Ovis aries: one gene and its partners. The protein of the gene in region 1 interacts with the protein of each later gene in a pairwise test. Links are inferred from orthologs where the notes say so. Each region holds a gene or a part of one and is shown in the gene's direction. Other genes may lie near its edges. The genes, in order: TRIM23, TRIM29, PITX1, MORN4, BRME1, GEM and FAM133A.

Region 1 (3,720 bases):
AGGTAAACCCTTACTGTTGTCATTTTGTTTATTTTCTGCCTAACTTGATACTTTTTTTTGTTTTACCTTTCCTCTTTCATTGCCTTTTGTGTTTTATTGATTTTTTTTTTAATGTCATGGTTTGAGTTCCTTCTCATTTCCTTTTGTTTATATTCTATGGATTTTTGTGTGTGTGTTTGAGGTTACCTTTACAATTACATAAAATATCTTAGTTGTAACATTCTGTTTTAAATTGATAACAATTTAACTTCAATTGCATAGAAAAATTCTATTTTTCCAGAGCTCCACCCCCTGTACTTTATATTATTGATGTCACAAATTATATCTTTATATACTGTACACTTATTAGCACAGGCTTATAGTTTCTTTTAATGTGTTTGTTATTTCATTTCAATGAAGAATTAAATTTATTCACCCAAATTATAATAATGCAGGTTACTATTTGTTCCTGTAGTTATTGTTACCATTTTGGATTTTCATATGACTTCGTATTGCTGACAGCCTTTCATTTCAGTTTGAAGGACTCCTTTAGCTTCTCTTATTGAACAGGTCTAGTGATCCTGACTTCATCAGCTTTGTTTTTCTAGGAAAATCTTTTTTCCCATAATTTTTGAAGGACAGTTTTGCTATATATAGAATTCCTGGTTGAAGCCTTTTTCTTTCAGCACTTTGACTGTATCATCCCATTCCTTCTGGTCTGCAGTGTGTTTTTGCTGAGAAATTTGTTGATAGTCTTATGGAAGCTCCCTTTCTGTGATTAGTCATTTTTTCTTGTTGCTTTCAAGATTATCTGTTTTTGAATTTTGACAGTTGGGTTATAATATATCTTAATGTGGGTCTCTTTGCATTTATCATAGTTTGAATGCATTGAGGTAGGATTTTTATATCCATTTCTTTCCTCAGATTAGGAAGTTTTCAGCCATTATATCTTCAAGTAAGATCTCTTTGCCCCTTTATTTCTGTATTCTCCTTCTGGGACTCCCAGTCCGATGTGTCTCTTAGGGTCTTTTCACTTTTCTTCATTGTTTTTTTCTCTTCCAACTCCATGAGTCCAAATTACCCATCTTTTAAAAAATTAATTCTTACAAAAATCCTATGTAAGTTTGGTCTATTTAAAAAAATTAGTTGAAGGCTAATTGCTTTGCAGTATTGTGTTGGTTTCTTCCATATATCAACATGAATCACTCATAGGTATGCATGTGTCCCCTCCCTCTTGAACTTCCTTTCCACATTGCTACCCCATCCCGCCCCTCTAGGACTTTAGTCTATTTTTAATGCCCATTTTATACATGGGTGAGGTGAGGCAGAGTAGTCATGCAGCTAGAAATTGAACAAGTATGTTCATTGCAGTATTACTTATAATATAAAAAAATCAGAGAGATCAAATATTTGTCAGTGGGGATTGGTCAAGTGGTAAATGGAATATAATAAAGCAATTGAAAGAAAAAACGTAGTTTTATATGTTTGAAATGAAAGGATTCCGTAAGGTACTATTGAGTGTAAAAAATTAGTTGCAGTGTGTATTTTTTTTTTTTTTTAAGTGTGTCTGCTTTGTGTATGTCAACCAGTGTATGATGCACAGGAAGATGTCTGGAGGGATACATGTGAAATTGTTAACAGTGAATATTTATAGGAAGTAAACATCACTTTTTATTTTTTATTAATATATTTAGCACAGCATGAAAAATCTTATTTAAAGAAGATTCAGTTGAGCTAGAAAATCTGGGAAAAATAGGTGTGTGTGTGTGTGTGTGCATTTTTTAGCTTACATAGTATGTAGAAAGTTTTACTAAGCCAAGATTTAACAAAGCAGTGAGGAAACATTTCCTCTTTGTAAATATCAGAATCAGGGTATTTTAATATGGGAATAGAACTGATTTTAATGGATTGAGGAATGAGTAGGAGACAAAATAATTAACAAAGGTATTTTATAAATAAAAGTGTAAGTGCTAGTACTTTGAACTCCATAACAAAATAAAAAGATTTATTTTTTTAAAAATTATAGGACAATAGAGTTCACATTGGACCCAAAATGGAAATTCGAGTTGTTACATTAGGATTAGATGGTGCTGGAAAAACTACTATTTTGTTTAAATTAAAACAGGATGAGTTCATGCAGCCTATTCCAACAATTGGTAAGTATGCGTATTGCTTTTACCTTAATGAATATTTTATAGGAAAAAGCCCTAACTTACAGATGAGTTCTCAGGGCCTTACTTTATGCCCACTTGATGTGGAGATTGTCTGTAAGACATCAGCATTTCAGAGGAAAAATGCAAGGTTCAGTGACTGTGGGATTGAAATGTGGATTGAGGGGGGATAGTAAGAAAGAACAAAATATTGGTGGGACAGTTGGAAGGAATAAAATATTGATGACTCTGGCTGAAAATTAGGGATGAGGAGGTGGTAGTGTTGCAGAGCTGGTACTCAGCTGTCAAGGTCTTAAGGACTCTATTAGATTAGAGGGCTAACCCTGGTTAAAGGTATACATTTCCTCCATGTATGTTTATTACAAGTGGAGTTGGTTAGATAGTGCTGTATGAAGATGATTTGTAAGTCACAGTTACAATTGGGGTTGCCGGTTTTTGGTGTGTCACTCATAAGTCAGTATTAAAGTAAGTTGGTTTTTTTTTTTAAAACAGGTTTTAATGTGGAAACTGTAGAATATAAAAATCTAAAGTTCACCATTTGGGATGTAGGTGGAAAACACAAATTAAGACCATTGTGGAAACATTATTACCTTAATACTCAAGGTAAGAGTGTAAAATTACATCTTAATTTTTCAGATTTTTAGAATGTCAGTCCAGTTATCAGTGCATTGATTTAGCTAATAAAGCTGATATTTTAGAGTTGATTAAATATATGACCATACTATTACATATTGGTAGCACGCCCAACACTATCAAGAAAATTAAGCTAGATAGACTGAGATATGTACTCTGGTATATTTCATGAAAAACTATAACTTAACATAATATTTATCTTATACATGTAAGCAATTAAGGGTACTTTCCTCTTGGTATTCTTAACACAGAGTATTATTAGTGTTCATATGAGTATGCTGCTGCTGCTAAGTCGCTTCAGTCATGTCCGACTCTGTGTGACCCCATAGACGGCAGCCCACCAGCCTCCTCCATCCCTGGGATTCTCCAGGCAAGAACACTGGAGTGGGTTGCCATTTCCTTCTCCAATGCAGGAAAGTGAAAAGTGAAAGTGAAGTCGCTCAGTCATGTCTGACTTGTAGCGACCCCATGGACTGCAGCCTACCAGGCTCCTCTGCCCATGGGGTTTTCCAGGCAAGAGTACTGGAGTGGGTTGCCATTGCCTTCTCCAGGGCATGAAAGTGAAAAGTGAAAGTGAAGTCGCTCAGCTGTGTCCGACTTGTAGCAACCCCATGGACTGCAGCCAACCAGGCTCCTCTGCCCATGGGGTTTTCCAGGCAAGAGTACTGGAGTGGGTTGCCATTGCCTTCACCGTCATATGAGTATAATCATTGGCAATACTGTGGTATAGGGTAGAATCTGTGGTGTATAGTTCTGTTGCTCCATTCAATTCAATTCAACTCAACATTTATCCCATTATAACCTCTCAATAGCTCCACTCCTTTATTTCCATTCACAATTAGTTATCATTAGCAGAAGAACCCATAGTGGTTTGATTTTAACCAAACTGTTATGTGACATACATTCCACTTAGCATTTATTCACATAAATGAATTGT
Region 2 (3,720 bases), on another chromosome or scaffold:
TGCCATTTAGGGCCAATCGCTGGGGAAAGCTTACCCAGATGGGGAGGTATTCATGGTACCAGCTCAGCAGCACCCAGCTGGCAGCCCTCACTGCACCTCCGCCCCCACGGTGGTCCTGGCCCAGCTTCCTCACGGGCACCCCACCCTCTCACCCAGCCTCTGGGGTCTCGGCATGCAGGGCCTGGCGCAGGGGTGCTCTGGTGACCCTCAAAGTCTCTAATTAGGATGCCTATACATCTTAGTCCATTCAAGACTCTCCAAGTTTACACTGGTACCCTCAGCCTGATGACTAGCATCATCCCTCTCAATTCTGCTCCGATATGAATGGTAAATTACGTGGTCACCCTATCCTAGACCCAAGGGCGCTATCTTGGTGGTTGAACCCCGGTCCTGACCCAGGCAGGTGAAGCTGTTTTGGGGGGGCAAGGATTCCTGCTTGACACCCCTCAAGTCAGAGCCACAGGCCCCCGGCTGAGCCAGGCCCCCCTTTCTGGGATGACAGCCCCCTCCTCATCCCCTTCACAGGTGGGGCCAGGACCTCGTACCAGCCGGCCTCCCCCAGCCGCCTCTCCAAGGAGAAGAACTTCAGCAACCTGTACGGCACCAAAGGTGGGAGGCGGCTCAGCGGGAGGGTGGCAGGGCCTCTGTGTGGGGCCATGCAGGCAGCAGGCGGGGGCTGGGCAATGGGCAGCGGGACTCCCCATACGAGGTGACTTGGGGAGCTGGAGTGGGGTTGGCCTGGAGATGGGTGAGGAGGGATCCTACCAAGCTCAGGGGGTGTTCAGGTGTATGTGTGTCTGTGTGGTTCGCACATGTGCTTGTGTGCACGCCTGTGTGTGACATCGTTCGGCTGAGGAAAGCCAGCCAGGCACCTCTGCATCAGTGGAATCCCTGGGTCTGTAAGGTCTTCTCCCTGAAGGATGAGCTGGGGAAAGCGGACCCCAGGGTGAGGTGTGTGAGGACTTCCCTCAGCAGGTGGCAGGCCAGGGGTCACAGGGGACCTTTCCTGATTTGTGCACTCCTGTGTCAGAAAGTCGGACACTGGTTAAAACAGACTAGGGAAGCAGGCAAGGAAAAGTCAGGTGTGCTACGGGCCAGGCCATCCCTGGAGAGCCAGGAGGCATGTTTGCCAGGGAGGTAAGTGGGCGACTTGCCCTTAAGACCCGGAAGGGGTGAAATGAGGGTGGAGGCGTGCTTCCCCAGGGAGAGTTGCCAAGCGCAGGGTCCCCTCCTCTGCCCAAAGTGCGGAGGGCACTGCTCTGCCGAGGGCAGGGCCCAGCCTTTGATGGACCCAGATTTGGGGGGCTCCTGGGTGTGTGCCATGTGCAGATGGGGAGGGGACTTGGGCCAGCTCCACCAGAGTCCCTGGGGACACAGCACCAGCGGTCTGGAGAAGCAAGGAAGGAAGTGGGGGTGTTGGTAGATCCAGAGATCTGGGGGTTGGGGCACCGTGGACAGGGCAGTGCCCAGGCCTCTATGTCCAGGATTGGGTTCGTTGTGCTGTGAGCTCCGTGAAGGCAGATGCTGGGTCTGTCCTATTCCCCACTAACACTTCAGGGTCCAGAAGGATGGGCTCAGCAAACATTTGTTTAATGGGAGGAAGAGGGGGAGATGAATGGATGGATGAGAGGGCAAAGAAAACGGCCCCTTGGAACCTTGGGTGGACATGCTTAGTGACAGCCTTAATGCAGACTGTCAGAGATCCCTATGGGCGAGGGTTCATGATGGGGCAGGCGGCCAGCGCCTGACCCCCATCTGCCCTCTGACCCCCTCCCCCCCAGGCAGCAGCAGGAGATCTCCAGGGCTGGGGGGCTCCTCTGTGGCGTGAGCTCAACGGAGCAGAGCCGCTGTGCTCAGAGCTGCTGAAAGGGAGGGTTTGGAGTGGGCAGCTCTCCATGCGGGAGGCGGGGGGCTCTCGAATGCCCCCGTGGTGTCCCTGCCCCACTGTCCCTAGGCCTCTCTATATCCATCTGCAAATGGAGCACCACAGCCTGCTGCACCCTCCACACAGAATTTCAGGGCTTGTAGCAGCTGCCTCCGTCTCCAGCTTTTAGCTTGTGTTTGTGTTTATTTGTTCCTCCACTCATTCATTCATCCATCAGCCAGACCGTGAGCGCCTTCCAGGAGCCAGGCTAAGTGCCGGGCCCTGGGTGGAAGGCTGGGTCAGACGGGCACACCACCTGCCCCCACGGAGCCAGCTGGGGAGATGGACCATTCAACGTGTAATTACAGTGTGATACGGGGCGTGCGGCTGAGACACACGCAGACTTGGGGGAGATGATGTGGAAGCTGATGCCAGAAGACCCAATGCGTGAATTTACTAAGTGTCGGGGAGCAGGTGGACTCTCCTAGGCAGAGGACCTGGGCTGTGCCAAAAGCCTGGAGCTAGAGCGAGCCTGGTGTGCGTCAGGAGCTCAGGGCACAGCCTGGCTGGGGTGTTGAGTGAGGGCGGGAGAGGGGAGGGGGAAGCCAGGAAGTGGAGGTGGTGGAGAAGGGTGGGAGCATCTGAGAGCAAGGACAGGACGATGCCTTAGAAGGACAGCTTAATGGCAGGAAGGATTGGTCAGAGGTGTGATGAGGACTCAGCTGCCTTCTGCCTGGAGGGATTTGCAGAAATGGCCTCTGCTCACTGCCCAACCCCCCACCCCACGAGCCAGGCCGCCCTGGGCTGACTCTTCTTCCTTTCCCCACCAGGTAACTACACCTCCCGGGTCTGGGAATACTCCTCCACCATTCAGAGCTCTGACGACATGCCTGCGGTGCAAGCAGGCAGCTCCTCCTTCTCCCTGAAAGGTGAGCTCACCCTCATCCGGCCCTTGTCTTCTGGGCGCTCTGTAAGCCCTGCCTTGGTCTCTGCTCACCATGCCCTGCCTCCATCAGGTCTCTGCTGTCAGGAGGGCTGGGCCACCGCACGCGGGCCCCTCGGGATGCACTGTGATACAGGCCTCAGTGTCGGGGGTGAGGGAGACACACCATACTCTCTGTATCCTGTGCCCCGACGTCCCCGGGGGCTTCCATCAGGCTTAATTTCGAGTCTTCCTACTGCAGAAAGTTTATTTAACTTTGTCACCTGGTGACTCCCAGCCTCAGGGGACTCTAGAACCCTGTGGCCCAAGCACCTGTCAGCCTCCCACAGAGCTAGAGTCCTGCCAAGTCCCCTCTGGGCCGGGCAGACTACGTGATCTCGAAGGCCTCCCTCCCGAGTCTGGTTCTGCCCCCAGAGCTCTTTGACAAGACTGAGTGGTCGATGCCTCCTGTCCCCTGGAGTTGAGGTCATTTCAAGGGGCTGGCCTGAGTCAGACCCCAGCTCCCAGTGGACCCACAGCCCTCACATCTCTTCTTAAAGGTCCATGGGGCAGCTCTGGGGGTGGAGGGAGCAGGTCTATCTGCCTTCCACCTGGCAGACATCTGGCCTAGGAGCCTGGATAAGCAGGCTGGTGGGCTCGGGTGGGAAAGGTGTAGGTGGACCCTCAGGCAGCAGCCTCAGACAGTTGCTTATCCAGCTGCCCCTTCTGGGCTGGGTCCTGGACTCTACCCAGGGCTGGGATTCTGGGATCTACCCACAAGGGGTTATGACTACAGGGTCCCAGACTGCAGGATCCCCAGGTCAGGGACTTGCTCTGGCCTATCTGGCTTACAGCAGGTCCTTCCCTGCTCTCTGGTCAAGCTTGGATCAAAGGCCACCAGGCAGGAAAGATGGCCCCCCTTAGGTGTGATTCA
Region 3 (3,720 bases), on another chromosome or scaffold:
TAGCTCTGTGTGGCCTGGAGCGTTGGTTCCAACCCCAGTAAGCCCCCTTCCCTTCTTTCCTCATGTCCCATCATCTGGTGAGGTGGAGGCTGAAGCAGCAGTCAGGGATTGCTGTGTCCCATGTCAGACTTGGGAGCTGCAGCACAGTGCAAGTCAAGCCTTGCCCAAGGTCACACAGCAAGAGCCAAGGGAACATTGAGTCCCTGCTCTTATTCCTGAAAGAGAGCTGCCTCCTGTCTCATGTGTGTGTGTGTTGCATCTGTGAGTGTGTGCAAGAAGCCCCTATTCTGCCCAGGATAGCGGCCAGGGGAGAGAGCACCCCAGGTCCCTTCTCCAGCCAGCACCCGAGATCAGGCCAGGGCCTCCTCTGGATCAGTTCCTCACCCCTACTCCTTCAGCGCTGACTCTAGTGGAGAAAACACCCCTGGGCAACCCCCACTAGTCTCAGCCCCTCCCTAGGGCTCAGGGCCCCGGGATATGGAGCTTCACCCGCAATAGTCTGAGGACCTTTCAGTCCACACAGCAGGCATCAAGATTTCCAAATATAGGGATTGTGACTACTTGGAGCACTGCCAGAGGCTTGGATCTGGAGGGGCACACAGCAGGTGCTCAATAACTGCATTAAATGCATCAACAGTGAGGGACACAAGTCCCTCAGACTGAGTAGCTAGAGCTGCAGAGTCGCAAAACAGTCCCCATCCGCGGAACGCCTGACTCTTTAGACCCTCTGGGGAATGTGAGTTGTGATGGCCAGCCTCTGGACGCCCAAAGGCAGACCATTCATTTCACGACCCCTCCCAGAGGAACACTGTGCTTCCCACCTTGGCCTGACACTTGGTGGGCTTAGAACACACCCCTCTCAGCCAGATTTCGCGCCAGACAGCATCAGTGTTCTGGAGCTCAGAGGCCTGGTTGTGTGTACATGTATGTGACTGTATTCAGCACTCCCCTGTGTGGGCGCAGTGAGTATGTGTGTGTATGTGTGCACAGCACACCTGTACAGGTATGCAGTACATATAAGTATTTGCATGCTTCTGTGATCCTGGCACGCTGGGTGGCTCACTGTCCCTTCGAAGTAAGGCAGCTACCAGGAAGGTGGCATGCGGAGGGGCACTCACTGGCATGGCATAACACCTAAATACATCCTTGAAAGGAGGTATTGCTCCTTTAGGAGATTCAACTGGAAACTGTGGTCAAAGATGGGGCTGAGGCCAAATGCTCAGCAACCACTGTTCCCTGTCTCCAGGTACCCCTCCCCATCCCCTACACACCAAGTATGCTTTCTCCCTGGGGGTCTCAGCCTACAGGAAATTCCCTTCGGAGAAGTTAGAGCCACTCCCCCAGCCCAAACTCCTGGATGCATTCTGCTGTGGCCCCAGCCTCCGAGTTTGCCCCCTGTGGTCACAGGCACCCAGGGAGAGTGGGCTTGCCCTAGAACTGTGCTTGCTCCCCAGGACCCAGAGCTGGGGGCCTTGGACTGGGGCCAAGGGAGTGAGAGGCAGGCCTGGTTCTACCCTGCCCACGCCCCTGCCCCCACAATCCTCACCAAAGAGCTCAGCCTGGGGTGGAGGCAGGTGACTGCCAGGGTGATAGGGAGCCAGGTGAGGAAAGGGACTCCTAAGGGTCCCAGAGCCTGACAGCCTGCACAGTCAGCCCCAGGCAGAGATCCCAGGAGAACATTAGGATGCCCTGGGCCCAAGCGTGAGGCACTGGGCCTGGAGATGACCACAGTACTTCTCCGGGCCTCACACCCCACCCCCACCACCATCCTGCCCAGTGCTGCTTCTGTCTGGTGGAGCACACAGAAGAGGGGCAAAGGGCACCCTGGGGTCCACCTGTGGCTAGAGGAACAGGTCAGGGCTGCACCCTACCATCCCAGCGGTCACCTATTTGCTCAAGACTCTGACATCTCAGGACCAGTTAACAATTGTTAAGCAAAATCCTTCAACAAACTTCAGTGAAGTAGGAGGATTCAAGGAGGGACTCATTCTAAGGGATGGGAAGGGGAATGTGTTTGTGCTCATGGAGTGCCCACTGGTGCTGTAGCTTAGCTACCGTTGTAGCTAAGAGAAGCTCCAAGACTGTCCTAGGCTTCCTGGCCTGTTTGGAAACTGCAGTCACCTGGCCTGTCGGGCCTGTGCCTGCCACACTTGAGAAGCCAAAGTGAGGCCCTGCGAACCTGCTGGGAAGGGGGCAGAGAGAGGCCCACCCTGTGGTGGCCAAGGCCGGGACCTGGCGGATTTGGCCAGACCGTTGAAGGTGCAAAACAAGGGGAGAGAAGAGGCTGTGGGGGCCTGGCAGGGCTCTTGGGGTCTCCTGCTGCACTCGACAGCGGCCTGGAGCCAACAGAAACGTTTCGTCTGATTAGAAGCCATCGGTTCTATCCCAATCCCGGAAAATTGACTGCGGTGCAGAGGGGGTAGGCCTGAGAAGCAGCCTTGGGGGAGAGGGTCCAAGCTAATTAGGAGGCAGCATCCGGGGGCCCATTAGAGCGCAGGCTGCTGTCACTCAGCCTGGCTCGGGTCCCGGGAGAAGATCCCGGGGAAGGAGGGGCCGCGGCCCCTCGACGAGGACGCCGCTGGGAGCTGCCGGAACGAGCCCCGGGCTCTGCCCCCGCCCTGGCGCTGACTCGCAGGCTCCCGGTCGGTTGGATCCTGCTCGGTGAACGTTCACTCATCCCGGGCTGTTCTCGCCAGAGGCTCGGAACTTCGAGGCGGCCCAGACAGGAGTTGATTTCTGAGCGAAACAAGTCATTTGGGGCTTGAGGTGGGCACGAGCCGCGCGGGGCTTGCAAGCCAGATGCGTTTCTTTTGTGCGGCCGAGGGAGAACTCAGTGTGCCACCGGGGAAGGAGGGTGAGGCGCGGCGAGGCCGCGGGAGGGGGGAGGCGGCGGGAAGGTGGCTGCGGAGGGGGAGGGCGCGGGCGAGGCAGGCAGAGAGGGAGGGAGGGCGGCAGAGAGGGCGCGGCGGCGCGGGCGGCTCGGGGCTGGATTCCGCCCGCGCTCCCTCGCTCTCTCGCTCGCTCCCTCCCTCCCAGCCCCCTCCCCCGCGGGCCCACCCCACCCACCACCCCTGGCGCAGGGACTGCTGGAACCTGGCGGTGCGCGCTGTCGCTTTAAGACAGACTCTGCCGGCGCCGTCCGGAGCCTTAGAAACCGGCCCCGGATCGGGAGCCGGAGCCGGGGCCGGGCGGGCGGCTGAGGCCCGAGCGGCAGGAGCGCAGCGCGGAGCGCGAAGCCGGGCCCCCGGGTCGCGAGAAACCGCTGCCGCTGCCGCCCGCCTGGCCCCGCAGCCCCGGGCGGCCCATGGGGCGAGCGCGGCGTCGTTGCGGGCGCGGGCAGCCCTGGGGGGCAGCCGCTTAGGGGCTGCGCTCTTGTCCTCGCAGGTCGCCGCCGGGGCGGCCGGGCGCGCCCAGCCCCGGCCCCCGGAGCGCCCGCCTCGGTCCCCGCCTCCATGGACGCCTTCAAGGGGGGCATGAGCCTGGAGCGGCTGCCAGAGGGACTGCGGCCGCCACCGCCGCAGCCGCACGACATGGGGCCCGCCTTCCACCTAGCCCGCACGGCCGACCCCCGCGAGCCTCTCGAAAACTCCGCCAGCGAGTCGTCCGACACGGAGCTACCAGGTAAGAGCGGCTCCCCGCGAGGCGCGCGCGGAACCACCCGGGCGAGCAGGGCCGCGCCCCGCAGGCGGGCTCGCTCTACGCTCCAGGCGCGTCAGGACC
Region 4 (3,400 bases), on another chromosome or scaffold:
TCAAGGGCTTCCCAGGTGGTGCTCATGATAAAGAACCTGCCTGCCAGTGCAGGAGACATGAGAGACGTGTGGGTTCAATCCTCTGGAGGAGGGCATGGCAACCCACTCCAGTGTTCTTGCCTGGAGAATCCCATGGACAGAGGAGCCTGGCGGGCTATGGTCCATAGGGTCACAAAGAGTTGGACGCGACTGAGGTGACTTAGCCCGCATGCATGCAGAGGATAATAGGTGCAAAATGTAGCTCATGCAGAGTTCGGGGGCAGAAAAGCAATTTCAGTTACAGACGACAGATTAGGAAAAGTTAAAGTAAAAACTGGGAGTGTTCAGGCCTGTTCACTGTTCTCTTTATCTTCTTTGATCTCAGGAAAGGGAAAGAAAAACTCACTGCTCTTTTTTCCTTTTCACTGCAACGATCCTTGGAGCCAAGTTATTACTCTGGGCAATGGTTCTCTGCCCTGCTAATGTCACTGTTTCTCTTCTTTCCTTTGTGGGTGGGGTGATGCAAGGCAAAGGACGTTAGACAGTGACAGAGGACCCTGAAGCTGCCCCATCCCAACCTGACACCCGTCTTCTCTTTGCTCAGGCCGCAGACATGGTTTTGGTCAACTGATGTTTGCAGATGGTGGCACCTACCTGGGCCATTTTGAGAATGGGCTCTTTAATGGCTTCGGGGTACTGACCTTCTCAGATGGCTCAAGGTGGGTACCTGGTCATTCTTTTCCCAACCTTAGACGAGGGAAGGGAAGCTCTGATCTAAAAATGATAGGGAGAAACACCTGGTCAAATCTGAGCTTGTCCCTGACTCTCTGAAAACAGGCAAGGAGTAGCATTCGTTCTTTTACTGGTTACTTTATAAATACTTCTAAACTTTGAGATGGCAAGGAGGTCAGTGACCTCTCAGCCCACCACTGTGCTCTTTGGTTGTTTCCTCGGGATGAGAGCCTCAGATCATTTGGGCTCTCTGACTCCTCTCTGCTGGGTAAGATGGGGTGAGCGGGGTGGGGGGAGCTCTGGAAGAGTGGAATCAGCTTTGCTCCTTAGCGTTTGGTGTTGGTAGCTGCCTGACTCAGTTATCCTGAAGGCTGACATCTCGCGTTTCCCCAGGTATGAGGGGGAGTTTGCCCAGGGCAAGTTCAACGGCGTCGGAGTCTTCATTCGACATGACAACATGACCTTTGAGGGAGAATTTAAAAACGGCAGAGTGGATGGTTTGGGTAAGTTGCCAACCAGCAGGACAGGTGACTAAGGCGAGTGTAAATGGGTGGCAGGACACCTTTGCAGCTTTAATCCTTCTGTGGACACCCAGCAATACAGAGTGCTGTGTTCCTGGACTGAGCACCCAAGAGCTGCAAATTTTCTCTCCTTGGCTCCAACGTAGCAAGCTGGCCTCCGAGCCACAAATGCCACTGTCACACCCTTATTTTCTCTGTCCCCCCAAAGGCCTGCTGACTTTCCCTGATGGTTCTCATGGAATACCCCGCAATGAAGGTCTGTTCGAGAACAACAAGCTTTTGCGGCGTGAGAAGTGCTCGGCGGTGGTCCAGCGGGCCCAGAGCGCCTCCAAGTCAGCCCGGAGCCTCACTGCCTGACGGGGGCTGTGCCTGGCTGACAGCAACGCCCGCCACCCGCTCAGGGTGGACAGATGAACCCAACGTGAGAGGAGGCGAAAATGACCGTGGAGCAGAAGCCCCGGGAGGGGCCTGTCACCCGCCAGGCAGGGCTCTGGCCACTGCAGCAGCGGCCGCTCAGCGTGTCCTTCCCCTCTCTTACTCATTGGTACTTCTGTCCCTAACACCGGAGACCACCCGGGGCAGACTGGCTGCTGCCTTTCTCCTTCATTTTCTGCCAAGTGATGCAGAATCTCTTCCTTCTGCCTCTATTTGGTGCAGGTGATCCCAGCCCCAGATGAGGGCCAAGTGCTCAGTGCTCTGTGAGAAATGAGGAAAACAATAGGGGTGGGCTTGACAGTATAGCGGTCCCATGAAAGTCAAGGCCAGAGCTTTTCTGTATGTTGCCCTGCATTCCTGGTTGACATCACGGCCCCAGGCCTCCCGCTTTGTCTGACCAGCCTGGTCCTGTGTCTGCTTGTTGCCCCTGTGAAGCGTTCAGTGAAGTGCTGTCTTCTTCTCCCTTGACCTTACAAGCTGTCTTCCTACCCTAAGTTCCAGCAGGTAATCTGTGCCCCTCTCTCCTTCCTTAGACATGGGAAAGGATCCTTTTAGTCAGAAAGAAATCGATGTAAACAGTCATCTTATAGCTTGTAAATATTACTTACTCCAAGTCAAGGGCAGACATCTCTGGGTCACATCAGGCCTTGTCATGGAGTGAACTGAATCCTCCAGGATAGCTTGGGCTGACACAGCTCCTCCTCAGTGGACCAGTAGGTCAGACCCACCTCAACCCCTTGGGGTTCAGGTAGAATCTGACCCATCTTGGGAAGGCAGTGAACTCAAAGAGCATTTGGTCACTGTAACTCTTCCACCATGAGCCTTGGCCATCAGGCCTAGGGATCAGATCTGGATTGATTGGACTCCTGCACAATTCATCACAGAGGCCTCCAGTTACCCTGGGATCCCCAAATGCCCCACCCCATCCCCAGCCCCTTATCCTCACACTGAATGTCTCCTCAACAGCAGATTGTGGTGGAAGTGATAGTTGTGTGCCTCTATTTATTCTCTGCGTTATAGTGTGGAAACAAATGCTTATGAGGAATAAACAAGTCGCCAGAACTACCTATACTTGGTTTTCCTGACTCTTGCTCTACATCTGTATGGATATTGGCCCATTTGCTATTTCTAAAAGTTAGTCATAGATGAGGCTTGGAAACTGAGGGTTGCACACTTTACTATGAAATATCATCTAACTCTGCAAGGTAGGTACATGCAGAATTTTTTAAAAAGAACGCAAACAAACAACAGCAGACAGGCTGAGGTTGCCCTAACTAGTGAGTGGCAGAGCTGGGTAGGATTTGTATCTGGGACTTTTTGGCTCCAAAGCACTTTCCCCACAGTACTCATCTTGAACGTCAGGGTGCCCAAGTCCTGAGACAGGTTATCATCCCACCTGCTGGTTATCTCCGGCAGCTCTTTGCACAATCACCTGCCACGCTAACCCTTTCACATGCACAATCTTGTAAGTCCTGAGAGGAAGGTACCATTATTATCCTGCTATCACCGATGAGGTTCAGGGTATTTACATAGTTTTCCAGGATCTTGCTGACACTAAGGCATCTCCAGATCCAAGAACTTAAGCCCAGTCAGTTTAAGCTCAAAGGCTGAGCTCTTCACCAGTACACCAGCCTGCCTCCCTAGCCCTACCTTTTTGCCCCATTCCTGAACCTGATTCTCCTCAGCCCAGATCCTCTAGAAGTCAACTGTGAGAAGAGCCCAGATGCTAAGCC
Region 5 (4,170 bases), on another chromosome or scaffold:
TGACACCATTTATTGAGCGCTATGTTCTAGCACTCTCTGTAAACTATCACAGATAGTCGTGAATTTTCACAGCTATCCTGTGACATACACTCTTAAGGCCTCCATTGTACAGATGAGAAGACTGAGGCTTAGAGGTGTGAAGCCAAGTATCCAATACGGAGAAGCCCGGAGGGAACTTCAGGTCAGCCAGACTAATACCTGGGCACTAAGTTTTGGCCTGAGCTCCTTCCATCAAAGCTGAGAAAAATCAAACTCTCCCAGTGCCTAGGAAAAAGGTAATAAGGGAGGGAGACGGTGCCCAACCACAATTCTGTGGGCTCACAGCAAACAGACTGGATTTGCCCTTAGGTCTGGCCAAGCAGTTGATCCCTATGACCTTGGACAGTTATCTTCACCTCTCTGGGCCTCAGTGTCCTCATCTGTACAATGGGGATAAAAAAGTATGACCTGGCCAAGCTGATGCCAGGGTTCCACAGTGCTCAGTCCAGGAAAGCCATAACTGTCTTTCTTATCCCAGGTTCAAGGCCTTCTCCTCCCCGACTGGAGCTGCTACTGCAACAGGTGGCCCTGAGCCCTGGGCGGGGCGCCAGGAGCTGGGGAGCCCGGGCCAACAGGCCTTACTGTGGGGGTCAAACCTAACCTAGGGGGCGGGGACGTGGGCTCACCTGGGAGTGGAGAGCCGGTTCCCCTGGGGGGTGGGGCCCTCCCTTGAACGTGTGACAAGGGTGGGATGGGATACCTCGGCGGGGCCATGGGATACAGACTCACCTGGCGGGCGGTGGCGGCGCCTCGGCCCGGGGGTCCCGGGGGTCCCTTCCTCTTGTGCATCTTCCAGGTTGGCTACTCGGACCACTGGACCCCTGGCCTGGTCTTGCCCTGCCTCCTCCCCCGGGGCCTATGGCACCGCACACGCCCTTCCTGAGTCCCACGCCCCTTGTCGGCGCCTCGAGACCGCCGACCCCACGCCCTCGGCCCCCAGGTGGCTGCCCCACTTCCGCCTCGGCCCTCGGGCGCCGCGGCACCGGAGCTCAGCCACCGGACTTGCCGGGCCCCACGACACAGAAACTACAATTCCCGGCAGGCAGTGCGCGAATGCGCAGGCGCGTTGCCGGCGATGGGCGGTGCCGCAGGTTGCGCGGGAAAGAGGCGGAGCGTGCGCAAGTGGAGAAGGGAGGTTCCGGCATAGCGCGTGCGCGGCAGGGCCTTGTAGTGCGCGGGGCGGAGCGATTGCAGGTGTGAGGGCTGGTGGCGGCCCATGGGTTCACGGTGTGGCCGGTTCACCTGCGAGTTCTGGTCTTTCCTGGTTTAGGCAGTTCTCGCTTTCGGCCTCCAGGGTAGGGTTAGGATGGGCCTGGTCACCAGAAGCAAGGTCCGCAGCACTCGGGCCTCAGACCTCGAGCTGCCCGGCCTCCGTGAGGGACAACTTTGCCTTTGTTTTTTAAAAAAAAACGTTACGGAAATAACCGAATTATCCCCCAGCAGATCCAGGTAGACCTTCCTAGTTCCTGGTAACGACAGAGGGACCTCAACAACTCTGACCCAGGTCAGATTGGGCTTGTCTGGCTCCTAGGCTGGAAGGAATGGACCTGTGGTGGCGACTCTGGCCTCCCCCAAGGCCCCAGGCATCCTCCAAAGGGCCTCCCCATCCCTTGAAAGGTCCCAGGTCTCCCCTCTAAAGCCCTCAGATGACCCTGCAGGGCCCCATGTGTCACCTCGAAAATCCTGGGGTGTCCCTGGAAGGGTCCCAAGTACCCTAGCCTGGAGGAAGGGAGCTTCACATAGGCTGCCCCATCTTAGAGACTAGAGGGGCCATACCCCGGCCCAGGTGCTCTCAGATCCTGGGCAGAAAATAGGCAGTTCCCTCTCTGCAGCATGGAGGAGTTTAAATTCACATGCCGAGTAGCCCAAGGTAGCTATGATTCCCATCCTCTGCCCTACTGGGGCTCTGTTGACCCCTGGGGCAGCCAGATAGGTCTAGGTCTGGTAGGGGTGGCCTCAGCCAAGGCCACTGGGTCTTGTAACTGAGAGACAGGAACTGCTTGTAATGATAAGATTTGCTCCTTGTTTTCAGATTTCTCTAGGGAGAGAGAAAATGAGTAAGAGGAAGAAGCTTCGGACTTCAGGTATTTGGACGATCAAGTTGACACATCTTTATTGCTGCTTCTGCTTTTAGGAGGAATGTGGGCTTATTGCAGAAATGCTAAGGTGACCACACCAAGCTCCTTAAAATAACAACAATGATTTAATACACACGATGACTTAGTCCAAGTATAAGTTATGGAGAAGTGCTTATAGTAAAAAGTGAAAGCTTTGTGAAGCTTCCTCCAGCCTGTAGTGGGATCCCACAGCCTAGGGGAGGCCTGCAGGCTTCAGGGAGGGGTGCAGCTTCTACGCAGGTCCACTCTCAGAGATGACCCGTGAATAGAGCTTGATGTGCTGGTATGTGGCTTAAGCAAAAGACCTAGGTTCATCTCCCTGTGTGATGGCAGATAACTTACTCTGTCTCACTTTCCTCCTGCAAGTAGGAGATAATAAAGAGCACATACCATTTCCTTTATTTTCTTTTAAAAATGTTAAAAAATTTATCTTTAATTGGAGGATAATTGCTTTACAATATTGTGTTAGTTTCTGCCACATATCAACATGAGTCAGCCACAAGTATGTCTCCGCCCTCTTGAACCTCCCTCCCACCTCCCCACCCTGTCCTTTAGAACAGTGATTCTCAACCTGTTGCAGGGAGCAGTTTGATTCCAGAGGACATTTGGCAATATTTAGAGACGTTTTTTTAAAAGTATTTATTCATTTATTTGGCTGTGCCAAGTCCTAAGTGTGGCATGTGGAATCTTTCAGTTGTGGCCCGTGATATCTAGTTCTCTGACCAGAGATTGAACCTCCTGCATTGGGAGCAGGAGTCTTAACCACTGGACCACCAGAGAAGTCCCTAGAGACACTGTGGGGTTTTACAACTGGTGTGTTTGTTTGGGTGGGTGGGAGGTACTGGCATTTCATGGGTCAAGAGCAGAGATGGCTGCTCAAAATCATAGCACGCAGAGGACAGCCCCCACAGCCCAGAATGACCTGGCCCCAAATGTCAGTAGTGCCAAAGCTGAGAACTTTGCCCTAGAGCTCACGTGTGAATTAGCATTTGTGAAGCACTGAGAGTAGACGCACGGCAGGACGCTGATATATGCTGCTGTTATGATTGTCCTTTCAGATTATTATTCTTTTTCATTTTGAAACAATTTTGAGCTTACAGAAAAGTTGTAAAAATACTTCAGAGTTCAGTCTACCCTTTCCTCGCCTTCCGCTAATGGTAAAGCCACCCACAACCATAGGATGATGGTCAGCCATGTTGTTGTTTAGTCACTCAGTTTTGTCCGACTCTTTTGCGACCCCGTGGACTGTAGCCCCGCAGGTTCCTCTGTCCCTGGGATTTCTCAGGCAAGAATGCTGGAGTGGGTTGCCGTTTCCTCCTCCAGGGGATCCTCCTGATCCAGGGATCAAACTCGTGTCTTGTGCATTGGCACTTGGATTCTTTACCACTTGAGCCACTAGGGAAGCCTGGATCAACCGCATCATGTAGCATAAAAAACAAGAAATAAATCTCAGTACCGTACTTCTTCCAGACTTTTTCTTTATATACACAAATACAGTGTTTTTATTGGATAAATATAATTATCAACATACTGATATGCAACCTCTGATTTTCAACTTCATGGGTTTTCAAGATCATCGTTACCTCTCAATATACATAGAGAATTGCCTCGTTCAGAAGGAAAACATCCAGTATTATGTGGTATAGCTCCATTCCCCTGTCATTGGCTAAGGAATTTAAATTTCTTAAAAATTTAAGAATGACCCCTTCACCTAGTGACTAATGAACTTCAAGAGTAGGATGTAGGGCAGGAAAGAAATCAACAGATCAAAGACGTTTGGTGTAAGGGCTTCCCTGGTGGCTCAGTGGTAAAGAATCCGCCTGTCAGTGCAAGAGACGGGGGTTCGAGCCCTGGTCTGGGAAGATCCCACATGCCGTGGAGCAAGTAAGCCCCTGCACCAGAACTATTGAACCTGCACTCTAGAGCCTTGGAGCCAAAACTACTGAAGCCTGTGTGCCCTAGAGCTTGTGCTTCGCAAAAAGGGAAGCCACTGCAGTGAGAAGCTTTCATATCA
Region 6 (4,456 bases), on another chromosome or scaffold:
TGAGTGGTAGTCATCCCCCTGGGTATCAGCTTCCTCACATATAAAATGAGGAGGTTGGGCCCAGGGCACCTGGGACCAAGAGAGCTCTGGGTTGCCATTCCATCTTTGCCAGCGTGGGGCCTGGCATGTCTCAGCAGCTGGTCACTTGGATAATCCCCAGAGCATGAAAATGCTGCAGAGTAACAGAGAACAGACTCTGTTCACAGCAGGGTCCAGCCACTTGAATAGATGCTGGTGCCTCTGGCTGTTTTCCGGGGCCACCAGCCCATCCAGAGATGCAGCTGGCTGGAAAAGCAGATGGGTGTGTTGGAAAGGCCAGTGTCACCTCCAAACACAGTGTCTGGGAAATGCCCGTGGCCTGCCAAAGAGGTCACTGAATCCCTCCAGCTGGGGGCACAGTGCAAAGAGCCAGGCAAGCGGAGCTTCAAGTCCTGATGCTGCCACATACATGAGCTGCGTGACCTTGGGCAAGCTCTCTGACTTTGGGGGTCATTTTCCTCCTCCATATAATGGGAGCAGCAGTATCTTCACCTTGCAGAATTGTAGTAAAGTTTGAGATACTGCAGAGGTCTAACAGTACCTACTAAATATAGGAACTCAGAGACACTCAGTAAATGATAGAAGTGACTGTTTCTGTTATCTTGTGCCCTTTTTTCACAGGCATCATTCTTGGGACTGGAACCCAGGCTAAGGCTCCTCGCATGGCCAGAGGCCCTGGCCCCACGGCCAGGACCGGCCATGCCAGGGAGCCTGGTACAGGAGATGCTACTAGTCGGGATGCTGATTAAATTCCCTGATCCAGGAGCCTCAGCGTCCTGGTCCAGGGCAGGAGGGCTAGCCACATTGAGCACAGTCTGCTTGGATCCCTACTTAAGCTATTTTTTCAAGACCTTTTCAAGGTCTTGCCCCCTTGCCCCACCTTCCTCTGGCCCCTTTTCTCTGGGTCCCGGTCAGAGAAGGGAGACAAGCAGTGTGGGTATCCCCTCCTTCCCTCATTCACCGGGAAGGCGACAGGAGCGGGCAGAGGCCGTTTTCCTTGCAGAAGATGCGGCTGACACAAGCCCCGAACACTTCCATGGGGCTGTAGCCCCCTGTTTTGTTTTGTTTTTGTTTTTTCTTTTGGCGAAACTGGGTTTCCAATCCCAACCTGCCTCTTCCTCCATCCTTCATCCGGACAGCTCGCGAACTGTTTTGCTGGAAAGTGCAATTAAGGGGCACTTCGTGTTTTGTCTGCCCCCTTCCAGCGTCCGCCTGGTCAAAAGAACAAACCAGAATAAAGGAAGCCGGGATTCAACTGTCGTTATTTTTTTTTAAAAGGGGAGAGAGGCGGGGGTCACATGACGGCGAGTCACCGATTTGGCGAAGGGGCTGCCCCTCGGGGCTTGCTGCAGAGCCGCCCGGCCCCCAAACCCCGGGCGGGGGCGCTGACGTCACGGCAGAGCCCGGGCCGCGCGCGTATAAACCGCGGGGCGCGGGCGCGGGCGCACCCGGCGCAGTCACCCCGCGATCGGCCGCCCGCATCGCGGCGCGCGTCCGCTCTCAGCCGCACCCCCGGTAAGGCGAGCAGCCCGCGGCGGGGAGCGGGGTCCTCCGGAGAGGCGCGGGGGGCAGGACTGGGGGAAGGGGTGGGCGTCCGCAGCCCGCGGAGAACTTTCCAAGTGGGGAAAAGAACCTTCCGGACCTGCTGTCCGGCGCGGTGGTCTTTCGATCGGGGGTCGGGGGGGTGAGGGGTGTTGCAGAGTTTAAGGGGCGAAGGATGCCATTCGGCGGTGGCGGGTTGCTTTCGTGCAGTTCAGTTGGAGGGTCATCTCCTCCTCCAGACTGTGGTCGGAGGACAGCCGTCAGGGATACTTCAGGCACTGGTTGTTTGAAGAGTCGGCCTACCGGAGGCGCTGCTTGTAAGATTAAAAAAAAACAAACCTACAAACCGATCGGTCATCAGGGTCATCGAGGTGAGGGTCGCGGCTAGGGTCATCGACGTGTTGGGGTTCTGGGGAGTGCGTGCGGGAAGGGGAGGGTCTCTCGCTCACCGGTGCATCTTGCTGCTGAAAATGAGATTGCTTCTGCTTTCTGTCTGAGAGTCTGGGAGTCCAGACCACCGGGCAAGGGGAGGCAGTCTTGAGAAAGGCCAAGCTGTAGCCACGTTGTTGAATGTCTTTCTGGAGGGAGTCTTGGACCTGATTGGCTTCAGGAAGGTGGAAATCCGAGCTGATGGAAAGGAACTCTTGGAGTGGACAGAGTTTAAAAAGAGTGAAGCACTGTCTCTGCAAGTTTGACAGCTCTGAACGTGAGCAGGTCCTCTCCCTGCCAGAAGGACAAGGCAGAGGGATGGGTTAAATGTGATATCTGTGGGCAGGGGGCAGAAGTGAGGCATATACCTATTGCAGAAATTCTTCTCCCCCTCAAATAAGAGCATATTCAGGCATCAGGGCAACTTTACTAAACATGGAAGTTCCAATCAGCCCTGGTCCAATCCAGCCGGGGGGGATGATGTCATTGTCACGTGTTCCCCACTGAGGCATAAAAGCCTGCTGGGTGCTGCTGCTACTTAAGTGCCATGTTTAGACATCAGCGGCTAACCTGGCCAGCTGGTCCCCAGCTGCATTAACTTGTTGCTTTTCAAGCCTTCTCTAGAGGCTCTTCGTGCCTTCTGGCTGCCTCTGTGCCCGCTCTGAGTGGGGAATCCCCAGGCTTCCTTGAGGATGGAGGAAGCCCCAGGGCAGTGGGCGATATTAACGGTACCTTTTCCTCTTTGCAAATGACAGTCTCCCTGAGGAGCTGCTGTGTGTGTGTGTGTGTGTGTGTGTGTGTGTGTGTGTGTGTGTGTGTGTGTTCAGTTGAAAGCCTGTTGGGTTTGGGGACTGCTTCACTGGTGTTCCTTGTGTGAGGGTTACTTGGTAACCTCACATACTAAAATATCACTGATGACTGTGTTCGAGCTCCCTGAACTCATGCTTCCTGATGCTACCATCTTGGCTGCTTTGCCTTCCAGGACCTGACGATGACTCTGAACCATGTCACCATGCGCCAGGGCACGGCGGGCGTGCAGCCGCAGCAGCAGCGCTGGAGCATCCCTGCCGATGGCAGGCATCTCATGGTCCAGAAGGAGCCCCCGCAGTACGGCCAGCGCAGCCGTCCCCCCACCGCCCCCGAGGACCCCTGCCGCCGGAGCTGGTCCTCCGACTCCACGGACTCAGTCATCTCCTCCGAGTCCGGGAACACCTACTACCGGGTGGTTCTCATCGGGGAGCAGGGGGTGGGCAAGTCCACTCTGGCCAACATCTTTGCGGGTGTCCATGACAGCATGGACAGCGACTGCGAAGTGCTTGGAGGTAGGTGGCCCGGCTCCGGAGGGCTTTACGGGACAGCAGTGGTCCAGCAGGAAGAGTGAGTGGGTGGGTCATTTGTCTGCAGAGTTGGGAAGTGCGATTATGCCTTCTTGGCTCTGCCTGGGGAGCCGAGTCCCCACAGACGTGCTGGCATAGGCCTCTGGGACAAGAAAGTGAAAATGCTTATAGATAGAAGCTGGGCCAGAGAAGGAATTTCTTACATTCCAGCTCTAAAGGGACCAGGGAGACGGTTTACGGAGGGTGGAGCCGGAGGGTCAGGATCCCACCTCTGGCTTTTGCCAGTTCTGACCTGGACCTTTCAAGCACTCAGTGTAGAGACAGCCTTTTTCCATGGTGATACTTAAAACCAAGCCAATTAGAAAACTGTTAAGATGAATTCATTAGTTTGTTCATTGCAGTATTAGAGGCTTTAGAGGGTATAAAATTGTTTAAAATCTCTATTTTCAATAGCACAATATTTAAAAAAGATATTGAAAGTTAGCAATGATGATACTTAACGTTTGTAAGTATACTTACGGTTTTTCAATTTTCCATGGATAATCTCATTTAAGGTATTTATTATTTAGGCCTTGGTTTCCAAAACTGATCTGAGATGATACAGTCTCAAAAAAATCACATATTCCTCAAGTAAAGCATAGCACTGTATTCTGGGAAGTAAAATGAGGCTCCTGTAGTCGATGGTTTAAATTCAGTGTCTTTCAGCCACAGGATCTTAGACAATGCCAGGGTCACTGTATGTCCCTGTTTGCAGTTGTGGAAATGAAGTAAGTGTGCTTGTCCCAGTGACATGGTCTGTCTGAACGCTCAGTTGCAACTCACTGCTGAATCACAGATTTCAGGAGTAGGAAGATGCTTTAGTGATGACACAGTTCTGCCCTCTGCTTGATGCACAGAAATCCTACTCCTTCCTCACTGCTGTCAGCCCATTTCTACTAAACATCTATTCTTCCTTTGTCTGGGAGTTCATTGCTTCATGAGGCAGCTCCGGAACCTGCTTTAAATGATGACTCATTGATAGAACATTGATTTTTCTCCTCACTCCTGACGTCTCAGGGATGATAGCTAAATCCTAGTTCAAGGGAGAAGCAGGCTCAGTATCTCTTTTT
Region 7 (4,431 bases), on another chromosome or scaffold:
TGACCAATTTCAAAATCTTCATCAAGGATAGCATCTTCTCGTGGTTCAAGCTTTCCGATAGTAGGAATCTCAGGAGGGCTAAAGATATTGAAGAATGATGCATCAGGAACCACTCTTGGCTGGGTTTCAACTTGTCCAGTAGCTGCTGTGCAACTCTGGGTGGTTGTCATTGTAACATCCTTTCCTCTTCTCCAATCTTACAGCCTTTGCAATCTTGGATTTCCCAGTCCCAAGAGAAGAAGGGATCATTGTGATCTGGCTTTGACTTTATTATATATCTCTTGGTCAGCACCTCATTCTTGAAGTATGGATTGGGTAGAAAGCAAAATTCAAATGTGTAACTTACAGGCCTGCTGGGTTTTTAAAACTTCAGGCTAACATCAGACAGAAGTTCAGAATGGGCTCATCATACTTCTGAATCATGGGCCCCAGCTTGTCAACATTCTTGAACACAGTCAGCCAATAGTCAGGAATGCCTTTAGGATCTTATCTTTTAGGCTTTCCTTTTCGAGCTCTTTTAAGAGCTCTATCTTTAGGCGTGACCTCAGGAACTCTTTTTGGAGCCTCTTTTCCTGGAGTCCTTGCCTTAGCCTCTGCTGCTTTAGCCTGCCCTTTATCTTCTGCCTTTGCCTGGAGGGCTTATTTTGGATCTTCTTTTACTTCAGGCCTGGCCTCCAGAGCATCTTTGGACTGTGCTTTTTCTTCAGTCTTTGCTTCGGAATTTTCTTTTGGTGTTACATTTTCTTCAGCCTTGACCTCAGGTTTTGCTTCCAGGTCATCCTCTTCTTCCTCACTCTCTAAAGCAGGCATCTCACTAGAGTCTTCCTGCATCTCTTCATCGCTGCTGAACACCTCATCCTCCGAATTCCATTCACATTTTTCTTCCGTGGGCTCATATTCTGCATTGATGATTTGGAATCGCCGGTTGTACAGAGCCCTATTGAGTTCGGCATATTTTCGTTCGAGATCATGAACTGCCTTTAAGAACAGGGCGTCTACCTTGTCACATTCGTCTTGAATATTTCTGAGAGCCTGCACACGATTTCTAACCGCCCGAGGCAGCTGATCCACGAAACTTCTACCTGACGGAGCCCGCCTCACACTTCTGGAGGGCCCAGGTACACTTATACGTCTATAGAATGGGCTGCGGCCACTGCTGCTACTGCAACTACTGCTGCTGCTACAGCTGCTGCTGTCAGATTCGTCCCCAGAATCGCTAGACGAGATAGCTACCATCTCTCCATCCACCCCCTGGGCGGCAGGTTCCGAGACCCTGTTAGGATCCGCTTCTGCCATTCTGCAAGTCTGCAAACCTCTTAGGTGGTCACTACCGCGTGCCCAGAGATGGGTAGAAAATGACTCACGGATGCTTGGGTGGTGGCGGCGGAAGCCGGGGCTGAGGAAGTGGCAGCGGTGAAGGCAGCAGGAGCGCTGGGCGGGGCGCGGCTGGGCCGAGGTGACTGCACCGGAGGTGGCGGCGGCAGCGGAGGCCTGGGCGACAGTGGTGGAGGCAAGGCCTCTCTGACCTGCAGCTGCGGCGGACTGAGGTGTGACGCAGCTGAATATCGCACTGCGAGAGCCCGAGATCTCTTCACTGCTTACATCTTGAGCCCCCTCCCCTCGCAGTCAGACCTCCAGTTCCTTTAGTTCCCAGTGTGCCTTTAGCTCGCACCTCATTTGCTAGACAAACTTGATTGACCTTGATTGACAATGCATCAGCCCAATAAGTGCGCAAGCACACCGCCGCCTCTAGGCTCCGCCTTCCTTTCCAGTCGCTCCTTGGTTGCTGAGGCACACACCACTGAAGACTTTTTTCCCCTTAAAATTCTGTCTTTATAGTTTTATAATTTCAAAAAAAAAAAAAAAAGCTTAGATATGAGGTAAAAATACTAGTCATGGTTCCTAACAAGGGAAGAGGAGTACGCTCCCATCCACTCATCCTTAATTCCCATTTGGTTTGTCAGGGGCCTCGTGACAAAAAGCTGTTCTTAAAAAATTGGAAGAAAATGCTCCAAATGGCATCATTGGATAGTATGATTATGGATTTCTTTTTAAATTCTCTTTCTTTTATCTGAATGTCTTATGAGCATGTATTTTTACACTGGGTAAAAAGGGGGAGTCGTTTATTGGCGAAGGGGGGAGGGGCTAGAAAGCAGGCATATTGAATTCCACGTAGCAGCTTTAATAAGTGCTGTTTGTGATGTTTGGCAAGCCTGTTTTATATCCATCTACAAGGTTTGCGAACCCATGTTGCCGTGAGTCAGTTACACCATTTTTTTTTACTGTATTTCTCTTTTTAATCTGACATGTCATAGACCCTGTCCTTGCTGGTGATTTGCCACGTAGTCTTTCTCCATGCTTTTAACAATCTTGTAGATAAAAAGGATAAACGGGCATTCAAATGTTAGGTAGTAGTATTTAAAAGCAGATGGTTTATTCTATACTTTTGTGGCAGCAGCTTTTAATTTCACGAATAGCAGGATGGGAGGGGGAATGTGTTGATGAAACTGCATCCTCTGTCAGGGTGTACTTTACAATGGCATCTGCCACCAGTTTCCTTCTAACATTGTACAATTCTAGCCATACTGAAGTATGATTTACAGGTTCAGTAATAGATGAATACACTTTTGCAAAATGAAGTTTAAAAACAGGTATCTGTTATTTTTATTTACAGGATTCTTTTCTGCAACAGAACGACTCCCTTGGTACAACCAAAAAGACCAGTGTTTACTTTTCATTGAAAGGTAAGGAACATATTTAGCCCATTTTTATGAATGACAAGAATTACCTATCTATATTTAAATAAAAATTCACAAGATGTAGCCTTTTATTTGGAAGATATCTTGTTAGTTCCATGGAAGCAGAAAAATCCACAGAGGTGATTTGGAATACTAATGTAGAAAATAACCTAATTAATCACATTCACTTTTCTGAACTTGCTCATAGACTACAAGTAACAAATTAAAATATAAAATATGATGAATTATTCATTTCAAATGAGGAAAAGTATTAAAGTTAGATTACCTCTTATCTTTCCTTTTTATTACAGAATTTGTGCTTATTTAGTTGTATTTTTTAAGTTAGGAAACACTTTTATTTCTATTTTATAAATGAATTTACTTTTATTATTTACTCCTGATTGTCAAAGTATGTAAGTATTGTAAGGAAAAATACAGCATAGAAAATTTCAATGGTAATACAAACACAATCAAATGATAACCACTGTTAGAATTTTGATGCATTTTCTTCCAGAATTTTCTTTGTAAATATATACATATGCCTGTTTACACATGCTGTTTTATCTATGTGACATCATATTGTGTTTTGTAATCTGCTTATTTATCAATTAATTGTGGCTATATTTTCACAGTAAATGGTTGAACATCTCATTTTTAAATAGATGCATATTCCATGAAAATATTTCCCGTAGTTTAACCAGATTCCTATTGTACAGCAGCTACTTATACTACCTCTCTACTAGTAGACGTATTTTTCCTGTTAGAAAATAGTTATCTCAGATACCTACTCTATGCACTTGTAAAAATTAGCCATATGATGAATTCCTAGAAATGAGAGTCCTGAAATAAACTGCCTGATCATTTTACTCTTTGATACATAGTGCAAAACTTCTCTCCAGAAAAAATTATCACAATTTGCAATTATACCAACAATGCATCAGTTCATTTATTTAGTCATTCAACTATTATATTTTTGTGCCTGCCATGTGCCAGGCACATGTGGTAGAGGAAGATGATATAAGTCTCACTAAAACTTACTGGGTGCATATCCTTTCATTTTTATAATTTTAATTAAAATATATACTATAGAAACAATGATTTAAATCAATGAAGCTATGCTGTAAATATTGTTCTATAAATTATTATTTTCCCTTAAAATGATGGACACATTTTGTTAATGAAGGAAGTTATATTTTATAGTACTTTAATGGTTTAATATACATGTTAAGTTTTGTACCAACAAGAATTAGTATTTTGGTTCTTTTTTAATTTTTTAAATTTTTTTATTTTACTTTACAATACTGTATTGGTTTTGCCATACATCAACATGAATCCACCACAGGTGTACATGTGTTCCCAATCCTGAATCCCCCCTCCCACCTCCCTCCCCATACCATTTCTCTGGGTCATCCCAGCACACCAACCCCAAGCATCCTGTATCCTGCATCGAACCTAGACTGGCAATTCATTTCTTATATGATATTATACATGTTTCAATGCCATTCTCCCAAATCATCCCACTCTCTCCCTCTCGCACAGATCCAAAAGACTGTTCTATACATCTGTGTCTTTTGCTGTCTTGCATACAGGGTTATTGTTACCATCTTTCTAAATTCCATATGTATGCGTTAGTATACTGTATTGGTGTTTTTCTTTCTGGCTTACTTCACTCTGTATAATAGGCTCCAGTTTC

What was found.
Region 2: the proteins of TRIM23 (region 1) and TRIM29 interact in binary tests that used the Homo sapiens proteins (3 or more experiments, as listed by UniProt). The link is inferred for Ovis aries from reciprocal best matches to the Homo sapiens genes TRIM23 and TRIM29.
Region 3: the proteins of TRIM23 (region 1) and PITX1 interact in binary tests that used the Homo sapiens proteins (3 or more experiments, as listed by UniProt). The link is inferred for Ovis aries from reciprocal best matches to the Homo sapiens genes TRIM23 and PITX1.
Region 4: the proteins of TRIM23 (region 1) and MORN4 interact in binary tests that used the Homo sapiens proteins (3 or more experiments, as listed by UniProt). The two-hybrid records come from large-scale screens. The link is inferred for Ovis aries from reciprocal best matches to the Homo sapiens genes TRIM23 and MORN4.
Region 5: the proteins of TRIM23 (region 1) and BRME1 interact in binary tests that used the Homo sapiens proteins (3 or more experiments, as listed by UniProt). The two-hybrid records come from large-scale screens. The link is inferred for Ovis aries from reciprocal best matches to the Homo sapiens genes TRIM23 and BRME1.
Region 6: the proteins of TRIM23 (region 1) and GEM interact in binary tests that used the Homo sapiens proteins (3 or more experiments, as listed by UniProt). The two-hybrid records come from large-scale screens. The link is inferred for Ovis aries from reciprocal best matches to the Homo sapiens genes TRIM23 and GEM.
Region 7: the proteins of TRIM23 (region 1) and FAM133A interact in binary tests that used the Homo sapiens proteins (3 or more experiments, as listed by UniProt). The two-hybrid records come from large-scale screens. The link is inferred for Ovis aries from reciprocal best matches to the Homo sapiens genes TRIM23 and FAM133A.

What each region holds. Positions count from the first base shown.
Region 1 is NC_056069.1:14,074,621-14,078,340, forward strand, and holds part of TRIM23 (E3 ubiquitin-protein ligase TRIM23), read left to right. Parts: intron 1-2,005; coding exon 2,006-2,135; intron 2,136-2,642; coding exon 2,643-2,753; intron 2,754-3,720.
Region 2 is NC_056068.1:30,407,766-30,411,485, reverse strand, and holds part of TRIM29 (tripartite motif-containing protein 29), read left to right. Parts: intron 1-525; coding exon 526-609; intron 610-2,694; coding exon 2,695-2,793; intron 2,794-3,720.
Region 3 is NC_056058.1:44,096,404-44,100,123, reverse strand, and holds part of PITX1 (pituitary homeobox 1), read left to right. Parts: intron 1-3,384; 5' UTR 3,385-3,452; coding exon 3,453-3,621; intron 3,622-3,720. UniProt on the Homo sapiens protein: Sequence-specific transcription factor that binds gene promoters and activates their transcription. May play a role in the development of anterior structures, and in particular, the brain and facies and in specifying the identity or structure of hindlimb.
Region 4 is NC_056075.1:18,623,439-18,626,838, reverse strand, and holds the end of MORN4 (MORN repeat-containing protein 4), read left to right. Parts: intron 1-385; exon of another isoform or gene 386-583; coding exon 584-698; exon of another isoform or gene 699-753; intron 754-1,104; coding exon 1,105-1,214; intron 1,215-1,440; coding exon 1,441-1,589; 3' UTR 1,590-2,734; downstream 2,735-3,400. UniProt on the Homo sapiens protein: Plays a role in promoting axonal degeneration following neuronal injury by toxic insult or trauma.
Region 5 is NC_056058.1:10,105,334-10,109,503, forward strand, and holds the start of BRME1 (break repair meiotic recombinase recruitment factor 1), read left to right. Parts: upstream 1-1,193; 5' UTR 1,194-1,488; exon of another isoform or gene 1,489-1,543; intron 1,544-2,071; 5' UTR 2,072-2,092; coding exon 2,093-2,123; intron 2,124-4,170. Other genes in the region: CC2D1A (coiled-coil and C2 domain-containing protein 1A), read right to left, coding at 769-828. UniProt on the Homo sapiens protein: Meiotic recombination factor component of recombination bridges involved in meiotic double-strand break repair.
Region 6 is NC_056062.1:82,965,981-82,970,436, forward strand, and holds the start of GEM (GTP-binding protein GEM), read left to right. Parts: upstream 1-1,485; 5' UTR 1,486-2,702; coding exon 2,703-2,738; intron 2,739-2,992; coding exon 2,993-3,332; intron 3,333-4,456. UniProt on the Homo sapiens protein: Could be a regulatory protein, possibly participating in receptor-mediated signal transduction at the plasma membrane. Has guanine nucleotide-binding activity but undetectable intrinsic GTPase activity.
Region 7 is NC_056080.1:140,888,050-140,892,480, reverse strand, and holds the start of FAM133A (protein FAM133A), read left to right. Parts: upstream 1-1,470; 5' UTR 1,471-1,880; exon of another isoform or gene 1,881-2,031; intron 2,032-2,186; exon of another isoform or gene 2,187-2,408; intron 2,409-2,674; 5' UTR 2,675-2,744; intron 2,745-4,431.